2 linked regions of the Notamacropus eugenii genome follow. The protein of the gene in region 1 purifies or fractionates together with the protein of each later gene. This does not show direct contact. Links are inferred from orthologs where the notes say so. Each region holds a gene or a part of one and is shown in the gene's direction. Other genes may lie near its edges.

The links. The genes of interacting proteins can lie anywhere in the genome.
Region 2: the proteins of POP7 (region 1) and RPP38 purify together in Homo sapiens (co-immunoprecipitation; 3 studies listed by BioGRID and IntAct, with this or other methods). This does not show direct contact. The link is inferred for Notamacropus eugenii from reciprocal best matches to the Homo sapiens genes POP7 and RPP38.

Annotation. Positions count from the first base shown.
Region 1 is NC_092873.1:80,038,077-80,048,870, reverse strand, and holds POP7 (ribonuclease P protein subunit p20), read left to right. Parts: upstream 1-6,499; 5' UTR 6,500-6,625; intron 6,626-6,711; 5' UTR 6,712-6,995; intron 6,996-8,071; 5' UTR 8,072-8,083; coding exon 8,084-8,512; 3' UTR 8,513-9,443; downstream 9,444-10,794. UniProt on the Homo sapiens protein: Component of ribonuclease P, a ribonucleoprotein complex that generates mature tRNA molecules by cleaving their 5'-ends. Also a component of the MRP ribonuclease complex, which cleaves pre-rRNA sequences.
Region 2 is NC_092874.1:55,693,903-55,702,661, forward strand, and holds RPP38 (ribonuclease P protein subunit p38), read left to right. Parts: upstream 1-6,045; coding exon 6,046-6,885; 3' UTR 6,886-6,944; downstream 6,945-8,759. UniProt on the Homo sapiens protein: Component of ribonuclease P, a ribonucleoprotein complex that generates mature tRNA molecules by cleaving their 5'-ends. Also a component of the MRP ribonuclease complex, which cleaves pre-rRNA sequences.

The DNA of each region.
Region 1 (10,794 bases):
TTAGATATCATTCCTTCCTATTCAACTCATCTGGTGCCCTCTGTCTAAATATATATATATATATATATATATATATATATACATATATATGTGTGTGTGTGTGTATAATCCCTCCAACTACCCAAATATTGAGAAAATTTTCAAGAGTTACAAATATTATCTTTCCAGGTAGGAATGTAAACAGTTCAACTTTTGTAAGTCCCTTACGAATTCTCTTTCCTGTTTACCTTTTCATGTTTCTCTTGATTCTTGTGTTTGAAAGTCAAATCTTCTATTCAGCTCTGGTCTTTTCATCAAGAATGCTTGAAAGTCCTCTATTTCATTGAGTGACCATTTTTTCCCCCTAAAGTATTATACCCAGTTTTACTGGGTAGGTGATTCTTCATTTTAATCCTAGTTCCTTCATATTCCAAGCCCTTTGATCCCTTAATGTAGAAGTTGCTAGATCTTGGGTTATCCTGGTTGTATTTCCACAATACTCGAATTGTTTCTTTCTGACTGCTTGTAATATTTTCTCCTTGACCTGGGAACTCTGAAATTTGGCTACAATATTCCTAGGAGGTTTTCTTTTTGGATCTCTTTCAGGAGGTGATCTGTGCATTCTTTCAATATTTATTTTACCCCCTGGTTCTAGAATATCAGGACAGTTTTCCTTGATAATTTCATGAAAGATGATGTCTAGGCTCTTTTTTTGATCATGGCTTTCAGGTAGTCCCATAATTTTTAAATTGTCTCTTCTGGATCTATTTTCCAGATCAGTTGTTTTTCTAATGAGATATTTCACATTATCTTCTATTTTTTCTTTCTTTTGGTTTTGTTTTGTAATTTCTTGATTTCTCATAAAGTCATTAGCTTCCATCTGTTCCATTCTAATTTTTAAAGAACTATTTTCTTCAGTGAGCTTTTGAATCTCCTTTTCCATTTGGCTAATTCTGCTTTTTAAATCATTCTTTTCCTCATTGGCTTTTTGGACCTCTTTTGCCATTTAAGTTAGTCTATTTTTAAAGTTGTTATTTTCTTCAGCATTTTTTGGGGTCTCCTTTAGTAAGCTATTGACTCACTTTTCATGATTTTCTTGCATTGCTCTCATTTCTCTTCCCAATTTTTCCTCCACCTCTCTTACTTAATTTTCAAAATCCTTTTTGAGCTCTTCCATGGCCTGAGACCATTGCATATTCATTTCAGAGGTTTTGGATGCAGAAGCCTTGACTTTCATGTCTTCCTCTGATGGTATGCGTTGTTCTTCCTCATCCAAAAGGATGGAAGAAAATGCCTGTTCACCAAGAAAGTAACCTTCTATAGTCTTATTTTTTTCCTTTTTTGGGCATTTTCCCAGTCAGTTACTTGACTTTTGAGTCCTTTGAGGGCATACTCTAGGGACCTGTAAGTTCTCAGTTCCTCCAAGGTGGCACAATCAAGGGAGAGGAATTTACTCCTCTTCTGGCCTGCACACTGGTCTGGGAGCAACCCAAAGTTTTTCTGCCCAGGATCTGTGAGTAGAATTCTCTCTCCAGAGCCTCCACCAGCTCCATCAGCCAGTGCTTTTCCTCACCCAGGAGCACCACTCAGGGCTGAGATCCAGATCAGTGGCTCAGTTTCCCCAGGGTCTTTAGGCCAAGGGCTCCAAAAATGGATGCTACTGCCACCTGGGGCTGCCTGGGGCTGGGGTTAGGGCAGGACTCTGCTCCCTGCTCACTGGGGTGAGCTTTCTCACAGACCTTGGAAGCTGTCTTTGGCATTAGTGGTTTGAGTAATCTGGGAACCACACCTGCTACCTGGGATTCTGCACCCTGAAGTCTGCTTCAGTTCTGTCCAAGCTGCATGTCCAAGTCTGGGCTGTGCTTCGTGAGCTGTGCTCTGCCCCAAGCCTGGTGCGATAGACCCTTCCTGTTGGCCTTCCAGGCTGTCTTGGGCTGGAACTCTCCTTCACTCTTGTCGTTTTGTGGCTTCTGCTGCTCTAGAATTTTCCGAAGTAGGATTTTTTGCTCTTTTTTCTGTATTGAATTTTAGCCAATCATGTGCCTTTGATTGAAACAATCAAGAATCTTTTATTTAAAACAGTATATATATTGTATTGCTTACCAGAAGAGAGAGAAGCAGAGATGACAGAGAAGCAGCTGTGAGCAGTCTAGGGGAGCTTGCTTGTGGGGATGCTTAGCAGAAAGAATGTTTGTGGTGTCAGTGCTCTGTCTGTTGATCTGTGTTAATTTCTCAGACAGAAGCCTTTTCTGTTGGTCTGTGTTGATATCTCAGACAGAGGCCCTGTCTGTTGGTCATTATGAGTGAATTGAGATGATGGCACTTGTAATATGTATGAATATTGTTATAACCCTTTTAAGTTTTGTTTTCCTAGAAACAGAAGTTGTGGGCAGGAGCCTCTGGAGCCTGCTATCAGGCAGAAGCAGAAGGAGTTTGGAGTGGAACAGTCCCTGTGACCTGAGACAAGGAGCAGGAGCACAGAGCTGCCTGCATATGAACCCAGGCAAGAGTTGGAAGTGGCCAACTCACACATGAAGAGCCATGGCAGTTGGAAGTCAGCCTCAAGTCAAGATGAGAGAGAACTTTACTTGAACACCGGGTATTGATTAAGAAGATTGTTCTTATAGTGACGTAGGGGTGTATGGTGTGATATTTTCTGCTACTCCTTAAGGATGCATTGTGCTAGGGAAGACCCAAGCCTGGGACCCTCTGACTTTGGGGATGTAATGGTAAATGCTATGTGCCATATGACATACTGAATGTTTTGAGATACATATATGTATTAGATGGTATGTTTTGCTTAAGGATGTTGGTATGAATGTTATGCTTTACTTTATTGAACAATGCTTAGTTTGTTGCTGAATAAATAGAGAGTCCATTATATTATTCGGTTAGACCCTTAAAAAATCATTCACAGCAGCTGTGTGTGCTCAGGTGTGCTGCCATGACTGGCTTTACAGGTATCTTCTCTTTTTTTGAGACTAAATTTGTTCTTATACTTTCATAATATTAATTTTGGATTATTTTGTGCTTGTTTTTTCCCATTTATATTGTTCAGTTAATTTGTATATTGTTTTCCTAGTCCTGCTTATTTCATTTTGCTTCAATTCATGTCAGTCTTTTCACACTTCTCTTTATTCATTGTGTTTATCATTTCCTACAGCACTGTAATATTTCATTATATTCATATACCACAATTTGTCTAGCCATTCCACAATTGATAGGCTTCTACTAGGGGTGGAGAACCTGAGGCCTTGAGGCCACATGAAGCCCTCAAGGCCCTCAAGTGTGACCCTTTGACCGAATCCAAACTTCACAGAACAAATCCCCTTAATAAAAGGATTTGTTCTATAAAACTTGGACTTAGTCAAAAAGCCACACCTAAGGACCTAGAGGGCTACAAATGGCCTCAAGGCTGCTTGTTCCCCACCTCTTTGCATCTACTTTCTTTTTGGTTTTGTGATACCACAAAAAGAGCTCCTATAAATATTTTATTTTATATAGAGCCTTTATTTTAGTTAATATCTTCCTTGAGGTATATGTCTAACAGTGGAATCTCTGGGTCAAAAAGTATGGACATTTTTTTTCTAATATGCCACCCTCCTCTCTTTCAATGGATGAGGTCATCCCATTCACTTTCACAGTTAAGATAGTTGTGTATTTCTCACTATCCTGTACTCTCTCCTTTCTTTGCCCTTCTATCCCACTCTTTACAAAGAATAAGGTGTGGAGAGTGGAGTGAGTTCCATACTAGGCACTTTTTTGTTGTTCAATTTGGGGTTTTCTTGGCAAATATGCTGGAGTGGTTTGCTGTTTCCTTCTCCAGCTCATTTTACAGATGAGGAACTAAGGCAAACAGGGTTAAGTGACTTGTCCATGGTCACAAAGCTAGTAAATGTCTGGGGCCAGATTTGAACTTAGGAAGATGAGTCTTCTCAATTACAGTTCTAGCACTACACTACCATACTAGGCACTAGGGATCTGTATTTAATGAAATTAGCTTTTGTTCCACTGGTCTTTTTTTTCCTCTTGCTTAGCCACTGATCACGTTTTTACAACTTTTTTTTCTTTTAAGCTCCACTTCAGAATCTGCCTTGTGAGGTTGGCATTTGTTTTGAGTATGGCTATCTACCCTGAATCTATCTTCTCCTCCCTCTTAATCCCCACTTTTCCTTTCTCAGTATTTCTACAATAAGCCCTCTGTGTGTGCACACATGTGTGTGTCTGTGTTTATGTGCATTTTCAGCCCTTCTTTGTCTAGTTGAGATAAAAGTAAAGTTCTACTTCTCTAGTGCATGCATAAGAAATGTTAGTCTTTCCTGGGACAGATATATTTTTAAATTGTCAGGATCCCTATGCCAAGACTATCCCTCTGTTTTTACTATTAGGAGACACCCTGTTGCCCAGCAAACTGTGCCCTGAGCTTGGCATAACAACCATCCTTTGTGCTCACCCTCTGGATGAACTCTGCTGCAGCAAAATCCCAGAATTGTTTCACATGAGCCCCAGCTGGTCTCCAAGCTTGAACAAGCACCTGCAGGAACCATGTTTCAGTCATGAAGCCTCTGCTAGGAATCAAATTTGTCTCATTGTTGCTGTTACCACCAAATTGTCACTGCTACTGTGTTGTCACTATTATATGTATTAAGGTTTGGCCTTGCTAAAGCAGCTCTCCTAGAGGAGGCCTTAGTTTTACCTTCCTACATGAAATACAGAAATCTTTTTGCTTATTAGCTCTTTGATTTTATTTTATTTTTTATTTTATTATTATTTTATTTTTCAGAGTTAACAGTATTACCTCTCTGAGCTCTTTGGTATTTTCCAGAGTTAATAGTAGTTGTGTAACTTCTATATTCTTTGGTCATTTATTTTCAGGGTTTGACAGGGTTCCCCATGCTGAGGTTCCTCCAAACTTCCAGTTCTTTCTGGATGACTCAATTCCTGAACCTCATCTTCCTCTTCATAAATGACCTCTACCAATGCCTCTTTCAGAATTATATGAAACTTAGGAAACAGTGGGAATGGAGAGCATCATGGCCATGACAGAGAATATTTGGGTCACCTTGGAAGAGTCTCTTATTCTCTCTAGGTCTCTGTTAACTGAGCTATGAAAAGGGAATATCACCAACTCTGCTTACCTAATACCTAGCATTTATGTAGTGCCTACTATGTGCCAGGTACTTGACAATTATCATTTGATCCTCACAGCAATGTTAGGAGGTAGGTGCTATAATTTTGTTCTACAGATAAGGAAACTGAGGTAGAGGTTAAGTCCAGGGTCACACTGTATCTGAGGTCAGGATTTTGAGAAAAATTACTTTTCTTATTACAGGAAGAACCAATTTTATATACAGGGCCCAAAGAGCCTCTCTTTTTCTCTTACTCATTCAAAGCCTAGCCTCTCAAGTACCTTTCTGACCTTACTCAAAAATTCACCCTACCAAAACCATCTTGTCTTCGTGGAATTCTAACTGTAAACCCCACTATTGTTCTACTCAGGTAGGACTGGCTGGAGAAGAGTCTCTTTGTCCCCTACATGATCAAAGTCACTACCCTTTAGAAAAAGTCCACCTCTCATTATAATATTAATTTTCTCATTAATTGTTAACCAGTCAGAGTTGACTTTGTCAACTAAGTGAAAACCACCCTTCAAAATGCAGAGACTTCCAAGCTGGGTTGAAAGCTGAAATTTTATTAGAAGGAAAATCATCCACTAGTTCTGAAGTCCCTAGTACAAGGTACAAAGGACCTCACAGCCCAAGAGTAGCAGGAGAGATTATGCTTGAAAACTACAAAGGAGAGGTTCAGGGGTAGGTTGGGAAAAGAACGGACAATCTTTCCCAGGAACAGGTGGACATACAAGCAATATGCTTTGCAGGAACTGTTGACTGCATGACTGGTTTGGACCAGTGGGGGTGGGGTGGGTCGGCACAATTCAGCAAGGTCAGTCAGCAACATCAATAAAAAGGCATCTGGGAGTGAGCCCGACTTTGGCTCACTGCAGGCTGCTGATTGGCTCCTTTTAGCAAAAAAGCTTACTTTGCGTCCAGTGCATCTGCATGGCAAGGTAACTCATAGAAAACAGACGTACTAATTTCAGGGCTCTTTCCACAATTTTCATCTTCAGAGACACTCCCTTTTCCAAGGATAATTAAACATTCAGCAGCCTCCCACTTGGGGAGGGAAAGGGTCTTTGGTTTCCCCTAGGACCACTGCCCTCAATTTATGTGACAGCCTAAATAATAAATTGATTATTAATAACCCAGAAACTCTTGTCTCTTGGGTTTTTCATTAGGCCTGGAGATGAATCCACTGAGTATCCACCTCACAGGGTTCTTGCATCACACATGAGATCATATGTGAAAATATTTTGTAAAGCGCCACGCATGTGGTAAGGATGCTAATTAACCTAACGCTTGGCATTGGAGTCAACCTTTAAGGTGCCCCAGGGATGAAGGCTGGCAACGATGGGTTCCACGTGGGCCTTCCCTGATTTGGCCTGAACGCCCGGGGCTGTGCCAATTCACCAGACAGCTCGGCCGCTTCCTCCAGGGAGGATGCCCCCAGGTTCCCCCCTTCTCCCTCGCATAGCAAAGGCACATCAAGTCAGCAAGGAGGTCCCCCTCCGGCCCCACCGCCCCTGCAGGTAAACTCAAGCCCCTACAAGGCCCCCACGCCGCCCTCTTCTTTTGAGCCCCGCCCTCCTTTCACGTGGTGCTTTCTTCCACGCAGGAGAGCGCATCATCCTTTTAGAAACCTCGCGAGATTTCAAAATCCACGAGCCGAAGGAGGAGAGAAGGGAGGGAGAAACCCAAGAAGGGGGCAGACGATTGGTGAAGACGGAGGGGGAGGTTTAACCCTCTGGTGTCGGGCGCGCATGTGCGTTGTTCCTCACGCTCTGGGAGCCCGGCGCTGCTTCCATACTGCTGTGGCTGCCTCCCCTCTGGACCACTCCTTCCCTGAGCTGCTTCTGGCGGGTCAGCACCCGGGGAGGAAGGCGCTCCCTTCCCCAGTGGGTGAGTGCCGGTGTTGGGTTAGAGTGGGGCTGGGACAGCTGGAAGCTGGAGAGGGTGTGTGTGTGTCTGTGTGTGGTGTATTTGGTGTAGGTTGTGGTCTTTGTGGTTGGGGAGGGGGGGGGTGTAGCTTGTTGTAGGTGTATGATCTTTTTGTGATGTGTGTGAGTGTGAAGTGGGTAATGTGTATATGGGTGTATGTGGTGTGTAATGGTATATGTGTGTATATGGTTTGTATGTTTGTGGAATGTGTGGGTGTGCTTTGTGTACCTGAGTATAGGTGTGTTAGTGTAGGTGGGAAACCAAATTGGGTGAAGGCTGATAAATGAAGTGTATAAATATATAGATAGAGCCATATCTCTTATATTATCCATCTGTCAGGCAGTGTTGGGAATTTGGGGGAAGCTTAGTGATCTTTGAGCCCAGGATACCTGGGTTCTTGTCTCACTCCTGCTGACAGGTGGGGGGGAAGGGGTGCAGGATGGTAACTGAGTCTCTTTTAACACTTTGTGTTATCTCTTCGGTATGGTAGTTATTTTGAGGCCAAGTGAAATTGTACCAAGTACTTTGTAACCATAAAATGCTACATACTTATAAGTATCTGCTACTCTGTCCTAATGAAAACTCTACTGGGCTGGGAGTCAGAGAGACTGACGAGACCTACTATTAAGTATCGGTGTGATCTTTGGCAAGACCCTTCTAAGCATCAGTTTCCTTATCTGTAAAAGGAGTCGTGATAGTCTAGATCAGGGGTTCTTAATCTGGGATCCATGAACTTTTAAAAATATTTTCATAATTGTATATTAATATAATTGGCTTCCTCCGTAATCCTGTGCATTTTATATTATACACTTAAAAGCATTGTTTTGAGAAAGGATCCATGGGCTTTGCCAAACTGCCAAAGAGGTCCCTACACACTCAAAAAAAGTGTATCTCAAATATCTTCTAGATCTAGCATTTTTAGATTATGTAGAAGAATGAATAGGGAAAAGTTCATTATGTGTGCTCCTCCTCAAGTTCTCATCCTGAGGCACATGGGATCCAATTTAGCTGACTCCTTTCCTCCCATGTATTCACAGGACACAGGAGCTATGGCCGAGAATGGAGAACCATGGGGAGCCAGTGAGGCTGAACTGGACCCAGTGGAGTACACTCTTCGAAAGCGGCTTCCCCACCGTCTCCCCCGAAGACCAAATGACATCTATGTTAACATGAAGACTGACTTCAAGGCGCAGCTGGCTAGGTGTCAGAAACTTCTGGAGGGTGGTGGAGGGGGTAGGGGACAGGGTGGCTGTCCTGAGATTTACATTCATGGCCTCGGCCTGGCCATTAATCGGGCCATCAACATTGCCCTGCAGTTGCAAGCGAGCAGCTTTGGGGCCTTGCAAGTGGCTGCCAACACCTCCACTGTGGAGCTGGTGGATGAGTTGGAGCCTGAGACTAACACTCGGGAGCCATTAACCCGAACCCGAAATAACTCGGCCATCCACATTCGGGTCTTCCGTGTTACACCCAAGTAGCTGGAACAAAGTTCTACTGTTTTCTCAGCTGGATAGTCATATCTTCCTCTCTAAATTTTTCTGGGCCATGGTTCTCGTTTTCATTTTTCATACTCTGGGCTTTCGGGGATCTCAGTTCCCTCCCCACCCTTCAGGATATTAGAGAGAAGTCCTGTTGTGGGTTTTTCAACTTTCTGCCACCAACTCTAGAGAAGGCCATTGGTTTAGGCTCCTGAAATAAAAAAGACTCTGTGTGAGGGAAAAGTTTATGTTCTGTTTCTTGTTTGGGCCTAAGTAGTGAGTTTTTTTTCAAAAGCCAGAATTTTCTGTATTTCTTTTTCTGACCTTTCTCTATCACTGTGTTACTGTCACTCTGTAGTCTTTCCCCCTATAGGGTTCCTGGCCAACATAAGGGAATGGGATGTTTCATTTCCTGTCTATGAAGCTTTCCTTTTGATTCACCATGTACTTTGCTTTGATGGATCCATATTTCCCCCCATTGCTTTCTCATTCTGCTTCATAAATCCTCCACAGATGATAAATTAATGAAAAAATATTGAATAAACTCTTACGATGTGCTAAATGCCAGGGACATAAAATAGAAAAGTGAGAGACTCTTGTTCTCAGAGTTCATTCACGGTCCAAGTAGGAGACATAGGAAAAGGGTTCAGCTGTAGTACACATGTAAAGACCTGGTCCTTAAGGTGCAGCAAGAGTGCAGATAATATGAATATACCTAACATGCTGGAGGCCTTGCTGTATCTCAGGAGTACTAATATATTAGTATTACCCATTACTTGTTATTCATTTTTTAAAATGATTGTGAACTAGAAAATCATGACCACTTCCATATACAAGGATGTCAAGAAAATGAGGGTTGTTATGAAACAGTCTTCTATGTATAATTTGTTCTTTTTAAAAATATATATTAAATTTAACATGGGAATACTAACACTTCCTGCTTGTCTGTGTCCACCTCTGAGCCCTATTCTTCTGGTTTCCTTATTTTTTAAATATATCATTCACCCTCTCTCCTCTCATCCTCCTTTTTTTCATGTTGTCTCATTTTTCCTCCCAATTCTTCCCTGCTTTTCTTTGTAACAAAAGTATAGTCAAAGTTATGGGATCACATTTAGACAAATTTGTCTTTACCTTTAATCTATTTTCTTCACGAAGAAGTAGGTGAGGGTCATGCTTCATCAGTCTTCTAGAGTCATGATTGATCAGTGCATTGATAAAAAGTTCTTAACTCTGCTGAAGTTGTTCTTGTTAATATTATAAGATAAAAATAGTTCTGGTTCTACTCATTTCACTGCATCAGTTCAAATTTTCCCAGGTTTCGTTTCCTTAGTAGCTTTTATCATCTCCTATTGTGCATTCATATACCCATAATTTGTTCAGCTCTCCCAATCGAGGAACATCCCCTTAATTTCTTTGGTATAACAAAAAGTGTTGCTATTAATATTTTTGTACATATGCATTCTTTTCTTTCTTTTCGGTATGCCTAACCCTAGCATATCCCTATGTCAAGTAATATGCATGGATTTTATTTCCAAATAGCTTTCCAGAATGGATGGATCAACAGTTTATCCATCTCATTTGTTGTCTGGCATAAAACTTGGCAAAATGGTTTCTGATTCCTTTACTTTGGGTATTGGCAGCAAATATTCAGTAAATGATGATCAGTAAATATTAATAATTCAGTTTTTCTGTACTTGTGCAGTTTTATGCCCTAATTTAATACGTGGACAGTTTAAAGAAAAAATGTCATGCACTTTATGTTCCCATTTAGTAATCATCATAGAGTTTCCATATTAACTTTTCTAAGTCTTAGATTCTTTATTATTTAAGTTTGTGTTAGATTTGCCCAAGACTGAAAGGAAGTCCTTAGCTAATTCCTGCTAATTTTTTTTCCTGCTAATTCGATTAATTTTTCTTTCAAATACTTAAATGTTGTGCCATTTAGTGTGTACCTATTAAGTACTGATATTATCTATGGTGCCTTTAAGTATAATTTTATTGTTGCCTTGTCTAAGATCATGATTGCTATGACTTTTTTAGAAAATTCCTGAAGCATAATAAATTCTGCTCTAGCATCCTGTTTTAATTCTGTATGAATATTTCTGTTTCAGGTACATTTCTTATAAACAACATATTGCTGAATTTTTCTTTCCAATTCCAATTTTTCTTTCCCATTTTTAATGAATGACTCATCTATTCTCTTCCATTTCATAGATAAGTTTATCCCTTTCATATTCACAATCATGACTGATGTTGTTCTTATTGTGTATTTTCCTCCCCCA
Region 2 (8,759 bases), on another chromosome or scaffold:
GGACAAGCGTATGTATATTGAAGTCTCTAAGTAGAGGGACTGGGTTTGGAATGGAAATAAAGACTGCTAGGTGACTGCTGGATAGAATACCCTTCTGAAGGAATATTTCATATCCCTTGAATAAAGTAAGTTCACTCTATCCTTTTGGTCACCTCTCAAGGAACATAGCATGCGCAAGTTGGCCATGTATTAATGTTTTGGGAACTAGCCACTCCTGGAACACATAGATAATACTTGGAGGATCTGGCTAGTCCTCCCAATATATGATTAATTAACTTATATCTTGTGGCCCCCGTATGATATGTCCTTGACGAACAAACATCCGTACTCCCATGGCCGTGTGCCTGACCAGCTTGGAATGGTACATGGGGCCATTGGCAAAAAGCCTTCTTTGTCCAGATCCCTATAAAGTCCCCCCACCTAGTGTAAGTCCTCGGAATCTCACCCATGGAGAGGACGCTCTTCCTGGGACCACTTGCTCCCAATTCAGACCCGGAAAGCTGTATCCCGGGATTCCCCAGCTGACAAAATTCAGGTGTTGGTGCTTCCCTGAATTGGTGATGCTTTTCTATTTCCTCATATCTGTATTAATATTGCTATAATTATATTAGTACTAGGCTATATTAATTATTTCTGCTGTAGCTCTAAACTGTTCATGCCTGTTCTGTAAATCAATAAAATATCCAGCTTCTTCTTCTCAAATGTGCCTTATTGTAGGTGCGAATCTGAACCATAAATTTCCTTAATCACACACCTTCTAGGGCAGTTGTGAGAATCGAGATGATCATAAAGTGCTATAGAAATGGAAGTGATGGTTATTTGAGCACGATGGAGTTTGACCACTAGCCAAATGCCACTCAAACATTTTTGTTATGCAAACAAAAAGTCTCAGATGGAGGGTAGTGTTCCTTCTTCACCACCACAACTATGAGAAGGACATGTTCCTGTTCTTAATGTTGTACTGAAACTTCTCTGGAGGCTGAGCACAGCTGGGAGGCAGGCTGGAGTTCTCACATGCAGAATTTCAGTCCTGCTGCTCCGCTTCCATCTGCTGGTAAAAGGCCTCAGGAAAATATGAGAAAATGATGCTAGTAAACAGTTTCTCATTCTCAAAGCCCAAAGGAAAACTGCTTCCCCTCCCCCTTCTCCCCATAGCAAAGAGAATTTCTGCCTGGTCAATTAACCAACTCAGTGAACAGGAAGAGCAAAGATAAATGAAATCCACAGAGAACTGCCACCCTCTCCCCAACCCCTCAAGCCTGAATCATTCTCCTTCCCAGCTGAATCATTTACCAAACTGGAGAAGCGAAATCTTGTCATTTAAAGAGATCAGGACTGGGAGTTAGGAAATTGTGGTTTTAGTGGAGTCTATGCTACTTGTTTGTTCTATAACCTTGGAAGAGTCATTTCCCTTCCCTTGGCCTCTGTTTCTTTATCTATAAAATGGAAATGTTGAATTATATAGATTCATTAGAGATATTTTAAGGGCTCACATTGTAGGAGTCCATAAACACATGAACTTGAATTAGATCCTTTTCTTTCCCCTTCTCCCTTGTATCTTCTCTTGTGTTCATGAGTAGTAACTTGGCCAAATGTCCAGGAGGAAGAAGAGAGCTGGACAGTTTGTAAAGTCCTTCAAATCCTAGCCCCTTCCTACTTTCCCAGTCTTCTTATGCTTTACTCCTTTCCAAGAAATCTACCATCCAGTGACACTGGCCTTCTAGTGGATCCTCCTGACTCTCCATCTTCTCACTGGCTGTCACCCTGATCTGGAACACTCTCCCTCATCATGTTAGCCTCCTGGTCTCCCTGACTTCAAGACCCAGCTTATTGACTAATTGGCTGATAATCAGATGATATAGCCCTCAATGATGGAAAGTCAGCTGTTGTGTTTATTGAATATCTGCCTGTTGTTATATTATGAAAGTTAAACACGATTAGCATTTCTACTGTATAGAAGGGTTGGCTGGTCTATGCCTTCTGTCATAAATCCTTCTGGCCAGGGAGCCTGCTCTGCTTAGGGATAGCCCATGTATTTATGTGCTATATGGAATAATTGCTAGCATTTATATAGCATGTTAATGTTTACAAAGTGCACATATGTTATCTCATTTTACAATGATAACTCTTAGAGGTCCTCACTTTTCAGATGAAGAAATTCAGACTGAAAGTGGTTAAGTGACTTGACCAGGGCCATAGAGCTGTTAATTATCTGAGGCAGGATTCCAACTCAGATCCTCACAATTCTCTCCTTTGTGCCACCTAACTACCACTCTGGGAGCATCTTATATGGACATCAAGAAAAATATCCAGAAATGACTTTACCACTTCTTTGATCACTGCCCTTCCTTGAGGAAAGGTTATCACAGGAAAGGACTGATTCAAGTGTAGTACTCAGAGCCTCCTTGCATCTGGGCTCCAGAAAACTACTCCTAGTTTGTAGATCAGCATTTACACAAAACTACGACTTTACTTTTATTAGCTATCCTCTTCCTCTTCCAACTAAATAATATTTGCAAAGTACATGAGTGGAGTGCTCTTATAGAGTATTTTACATGTATTATCTCATTTGAGCTTCACAACAAGTCTGTGAAGACAGGACAGAGAATGCATTAGTTCCAAGTGAAGTGAAATTTGCTTAATTAAATGGCATAGCACAAGTAACAAGAAAGATTACTATATTACTAGTTGGGAAAGGATTAAGTGATTAGAAGACATATGTAGAGGGTCTGTCTGTCTGTGTTCGTCCTTCCTTTTCAAAGAAGACCGTGACATCAGAGAAATGATGGATAATTTGCACTTGACTTTGTTTTGAGTGAGGATCACACATCCAGGGAACAAAGGTGGCCAGAGAACATGCATGAAAAGTTATGGGCGTAGAACGCACATGGCTGGGGGCAACTCATGACACACCAGCGCCCTGCTGCCCCATTAGGGGCACATTTTTAGAGGATGATGAGAATTTAGAGATCACCGAAGGAAACGATTTAACGATAACTGGAAAAATGCTAGATACATTGTAGCATCGCAACTTGAAAAGTAACAGAATGAACCGGGCAAAAATATTTGTTATCAAGTCTCTTATAAGTCAAATAAATGAGCATTTAATAAGCACCTACTGTGTGCCTGGGATACACAAAAAAGCTAAAAGTCTCTGGTCTCGAGGAGCTCGACAAGTAGACAATTACGTACAAAAAAAAAAAAGGTATACACATTGTAAATGGGAGGCGATCGATCTCAAGGAGAAGGCCCACCGACCTCTCCCCTTTCGGCAGGAAGCCTCCCAGGGCCGGCGCTTTACCGTCTATCTGTCCGGCATAAAGCTTGCCTTGGGTAGATCTGTTTGCATGCACTCTCCCCCATTAGAGAGGGGGCTTCTCGGGGGCAGGAGGAGGCTCCGCGCAGGGCCGGGCGCACAGTAGGGCGTTTAACGTGTCCGCAGAATATCTAAGATACCCGGGACAACAAACTTCCAGAGAACAGACCTAAAGCCGGACCCCGCAGAAGAGGAGTCAAAGGGTGTGAATACACAGCTTCCCCAAAGAATTTCACACCAATCTACGGGGTCCAGACGGCCCTGGGCGTAAAGGCGCGAGGGCGGGCAGTGGCCATTAACCACTGGGCCCTTTAAATGTGGAGGAGTAGGCGTGGTGAGAGTCTCAGGGCACGTCAGAGGATGGCGGTCGCCGTGGAGATTGGCGCAGGTTGGTTACCATGGCAACCTACTCCTCCGGCGCCCAGTGCCCGGAAGGAAGTCTCCACGTTCCTCTAGTCTTCCGGCTCTTTAACGGTAAAACCCTGGGGAAGAAGCACATCCGTCTCGAGCTTGGCTTTCTTATTGGCTGGAGGCCGGCAGAGGCGGGTCTTTGTTCTGCGTTCCGCGCGAGAGTTTCCGTCTCGAGATTTGCGAGCTCCTCCCCTTTCTCTTTCGGGAAGGGGCGGGCCTGCGCATGCTCACTAGGAGGCGACCTGGAAGCTGAAGCAGGGCTTGTGGGAAAACTGCTGGAGCTGAAGAAAGCTTGTACTGTGAGTCGGCTCCGGCGCCTGCGGGGCTGCTGCTGTGGGGTGCGCGCTGTGCCCGGTGGGGAGGGAAGGGGACCAGGGTAGACAGTGACTGTCGTCTTTGAGGGCCGCGTGGCTCAGGCCCGGGGTTCGTTCTCACCCGGCCCGGGGCGGCCTTGTGACCGAGGGCAGCGGCCCGGCGCAGGGCGAGTGACCGGCGAGGCCCCAGGCTTGCGGGCCTACTCGGGCCACCCGCGCTTCCCACGCCGGCCGGGCTTGCGACTCAGCACACTTCATGTGTTCCTCCAGCACCACTTACATAGCGCTTCCTGCGTGCGGGGGGTGGGGAACGAGTGCACAAGCATTTATTAAGCGCCTCTTGTGTGCCAGGTACTGCACCAAGCAAAGGGCATGGGATGAAAAGCAAAAAAACCTAGCCCCTGCCCAAGGAGAACTTGCCTTCCGATACGGGAGATAACCTGGGAGGGAAACCCAACGTACGAAGTATATAGCTTCACTGTTGGCTTTACGTATGAACAAGACAGGCACGTGGCTTCCATCTGTTCCTGTCGTCTATGTACTTACACGCATAAATGTATGTGTGTATACACACACACATATACACATATATGTGCACGGGTTTTTCCCCCATGTCTCCTGTAGAATTAGCAGTAGAGAGAAGGTGTGCCTGTGGACACGACATACCGTCGTACGGACGGTAAGCTACCAGAGGAAGCTGTTTGGATAAGGAAACTCCAGCTTCTGGTGGCAGGTTTGTTTGTGATGGGCAGTGAGGAAGCCCCACAGGCTAAGAAGTACTAAAGGGCTGGAGAGTGGAGGAGTTTAAGAAGCCTCACCCTAGAGAGAGACCAGTTTTTTCCTGGGAGAGGAGTGTCAAGGAGATAATCCAGGCAAGTTGTTACTAGAACGTGGAGGAAGAGAACACTTTCACCTGGGGTGAGTTAAGGTCACTTCACTCAAGTTTCCTTAATCTTTAATGTAGAAGATTTACTCACGGCCCTCCCAGCGTTGTTTTTCCCTAGAGCTATTCCCTAGTTTGGCGTAGCACTTGGTCATTTGCATTTAAGAGTTGCTTTAACCTTTTAATTAAGTTAATTGCTTTAATTCGACCAGAGTACTGAGAGTAGGTACTGAATACCGTTTTATATTCTTTTCCAAAATCAAAAAAATAACTTGAGAAAAGGAAAACTCGTTGTCTGCCAGCCTCTCTGTGTCTGTAATTAGCAGAAAATAGAACCCAGGTTTCTTGACTCAGTTCCCATGCTCTTTCCATTATGCAGGCTACCTCTTAAATGTCTTGTTCGAAATCAAGGGCCCTGTGATAAATTTTATATGGAAGAATATAAATGTGTATACATACACGTGTTTGTGTGTATATATATATATACATATATGTACATATATATGCAAATATAATATACACATACACATAAATACTAGGGCTGGCCAGAAAGTGGGACTTGTGGAAGAAATGAAGGCAAGGCTTGCTTAACAGGTTTCAGGTGTCTTCCCCAGTCTTGAATAGTTTTTGATACAGTCCAATATCTTTTCTGGTAGTTAGTCAGCAAGTATCTCTTATGTATTAAGTGCTAGGCTTTGGCGATACAAAGAAGCAAAAATAATCCCCTTCTCTCAGGAAATGAAAGAAAGAATAAAAGGAGGTCTACCGCTTTTACAAGTAGAGCTAGATATTTACGCAGAGAAGCAAACATTTTTAATTTTGCTAATTTGTGTAGTTCACTGCAGTTTGTAATTTATATTTCAAATCATTTTCTGTGACTGATGTTTACAATTTTCATTGTGACTGAAAGAGTAATGCTAAATTTTAATGAAAGTGATACCCTGTTGCTTTAGAGAAAAAGTCTTCCACAGAGTGGCTATAAAAATGGGACTTTTAAAAAACTGGTAATTCCGGAATAAGACAACAAACAAGATATATTTGCTGAAAACATTTATTTTAAATAAGGGCTCCCAATTAATGTTAACTTTCTTTAATAGTTTTGGTGTCAAGGAACATTCGAGATGGCTGCAGCATCAGGGAAAGGATCGATACGAAAAGCAAAATCATTTACTGTAAAGACATCGCTAAATAACCCATATGCTATCAACTGGAGTACTTTGGAAAGAGATGATATGCACTTCATATTACACACACTGGAAGAAAGATTTAAACATGTTGGACTTCAAAAGATTGAGAATCCAAAGAAGAAAAAACAGCCTTTTTCAAAAAGACAAACCAAAGAAAAAGGTACTGTTGATAATGATGAAGTTCCAAAGCAAAAAGGAACAGAAATCAGCCAGAAAGTACCAGGATGGACTCCTGTACATATCAGGAGACAACTTGCTATTGGAATTAATGAAGTTACCAGAGCTCTAGAGAAAAATGAACTTCTTTTAGTTCTAGTGTGCAAATCTGTCAAACCTGCTATGATGACCTCCCACTTGATTCAGTTGAGCATCAGCAGAGATGTACCTGCTTGCCAGGTTCCTCGCCTTAGTGATAGCATCGCACCTGTTATTGGTTTAAAGTGTGTTCTAGCTCTGGGTTTCAAAAAAAACACCGAAGCCTTTGTTGACGAACTAAAAGCTATAATTCCCAGGGTACCTAGTTTACATGTGCCATGGCTTCAAGACAAAACTAAAGATTCCCTGGAAGATACAGAATGTGAAACTTTAGAAATGCAAGATACAAGTGTTTTAGAAACCTCCTTTGAAGAACTTACTAAGAATAAGCGGAAACTTGTTGAATGTCAGCAAGATACTTCTGCTGTAACTTTACAGCCCCTAAAAATAAAGAAACTGATTCCAAATCCCAATAAGATAAGGAAGCCACCAAAAAATAAAAAAAACACTGTAAAATAACGTGTGAAACATAATTTGTAAAACATTTTTCATAATTAAAACTAATTTCTAAAAATGAATTACTTTTACATGTGTCCTTGCTATATTATAGCTCATTAAATGTTCCTTGTTAAAAAAAAAAAAATGTTAGGGCACAAACGGATCTAGGTTTAAACCAGTATTTGAGTGCATCAGTTATTAAAAAAAACCTGAGTATAAAAACAAAAAATTATTAAATGTTCAAACTGATATAAATTCTTTTTAAGAGGCCAGTAAGATGCTGGTTTGTGAGAACATCTGTATTTCATCATACCTGTCTTTCAGTCAAAATCATCCTGCCACAGCAGATGTTGTTCTTAATCATAGTGCAGATAAAATTGCATTATAGCTGCATTATTCTTATCTAATATACTCAGCCATGAGAAAACTGGACTACAAATGGTCTTTTGGAAACAGTCCACTTAATCTTTAAATTTGGGGTATCAATTTGTATTGAATTTAGCTGATAAAGGAAATCAGTTGTCATAATTCATGCTTTGTACGTGTCTTAAAGTGGTTGTTCATTTTCTCCCTCTATCGTACATCTTGAGGTGGATTCATTTTTGTTAATTTAGGCTTCCATTTCATGAAGGACTTGTCGGGAAAAAAGAACACATGATTGCCTGGGAGAAAATGGGTTTGTATCATATAATGCAGGGAGGAATGGGAAAGCTAGACTTCATACTGCCAGAGTTAATTTCTTGGCCTAATTTTAGTCATTTTGCATAAAATATGGCACTTGTGTATATTCTAGATTAGATGGGAGGGGGAGTAATACTTTTAAATAAGAATTATAGGAAATTAGTTTAAAAATAAAATGAAAGGTTCCCGATGCCATAAATCTTAAATACATGAAAAACACATTTTCTTGTGGTATTCAGAGAGATATCAAATTAAAAAAAAAATCCAAAAATGTTTTTTGTTGCTGCAACTATTTCTGGAACAGGGTTTCATAACCCTGTGTCTGTACACTTACTTTAAAAAAAATTGCTGACTTTCAATGTAATTTGTTTCCTTTGTATTCCTATATATTTTATTCTATATATTTAAAAACATTCTTAGAAGGGGTCCCATAAGATTTATCTCACTCCTACAGGGGTCCATGACACAAAGGTTAAGAACACCCTACTTTAAGAATTTTTAAAAGGGAGCTGATATGTATTTTCTTATAGTTGGTTTATTTTCAGTAGTGAAAAACTGAAATGTCCAATGACATTTGGATAAATGATGGCTGAATAAATAATGGTATATTAATGTAATGAAACACTATGCCAAAGAAATGACACGGACAAAGAAATGAAATGCAAGGAGGCAAATATCAGTTGTCAAACTGATGTTCTACGGCTGTATTAAAAAAAACCTGAAAAGCCACAAAAGAAAACACCCAGGTGAATGAAGAAAGGGGGCATGTCAGTTTTTTATTTTTACAACTAATATGCAAGGAGTTTGAATTTTGATGTTCTTCCTGGAGGTCTCCTCTGTGTGTTGAGAGGGTTTAATAGTAAATTTCAAAGGTTCTTTTTGGGTAGAAATAATTTTTGGTTTTAATAGAGCAGAATGTTTTGGAATTATATGTGTTTTCAGACAGTGTGGTAGTTCCTTAAATTTTATGAAATATGTGGTAATAACTCAATACTCTTAGTCCTGGCTCTCACTGATCATCTGTGTGACCACCGTAGGTCACTTAACTTGTCAGCTTCTGCATTGGTTGAAGGAGAGTTGCATTAGATGTTGACTCTAGGTCCAAAGTTCCACGATTTCCAACCTTTTTTTTTTTTTTTTTTTTACTCAACATGGGTAATTTTACACAAAATTTGTTTTGGCATGTTTACTGACAGTACACTTAAATTGTACAC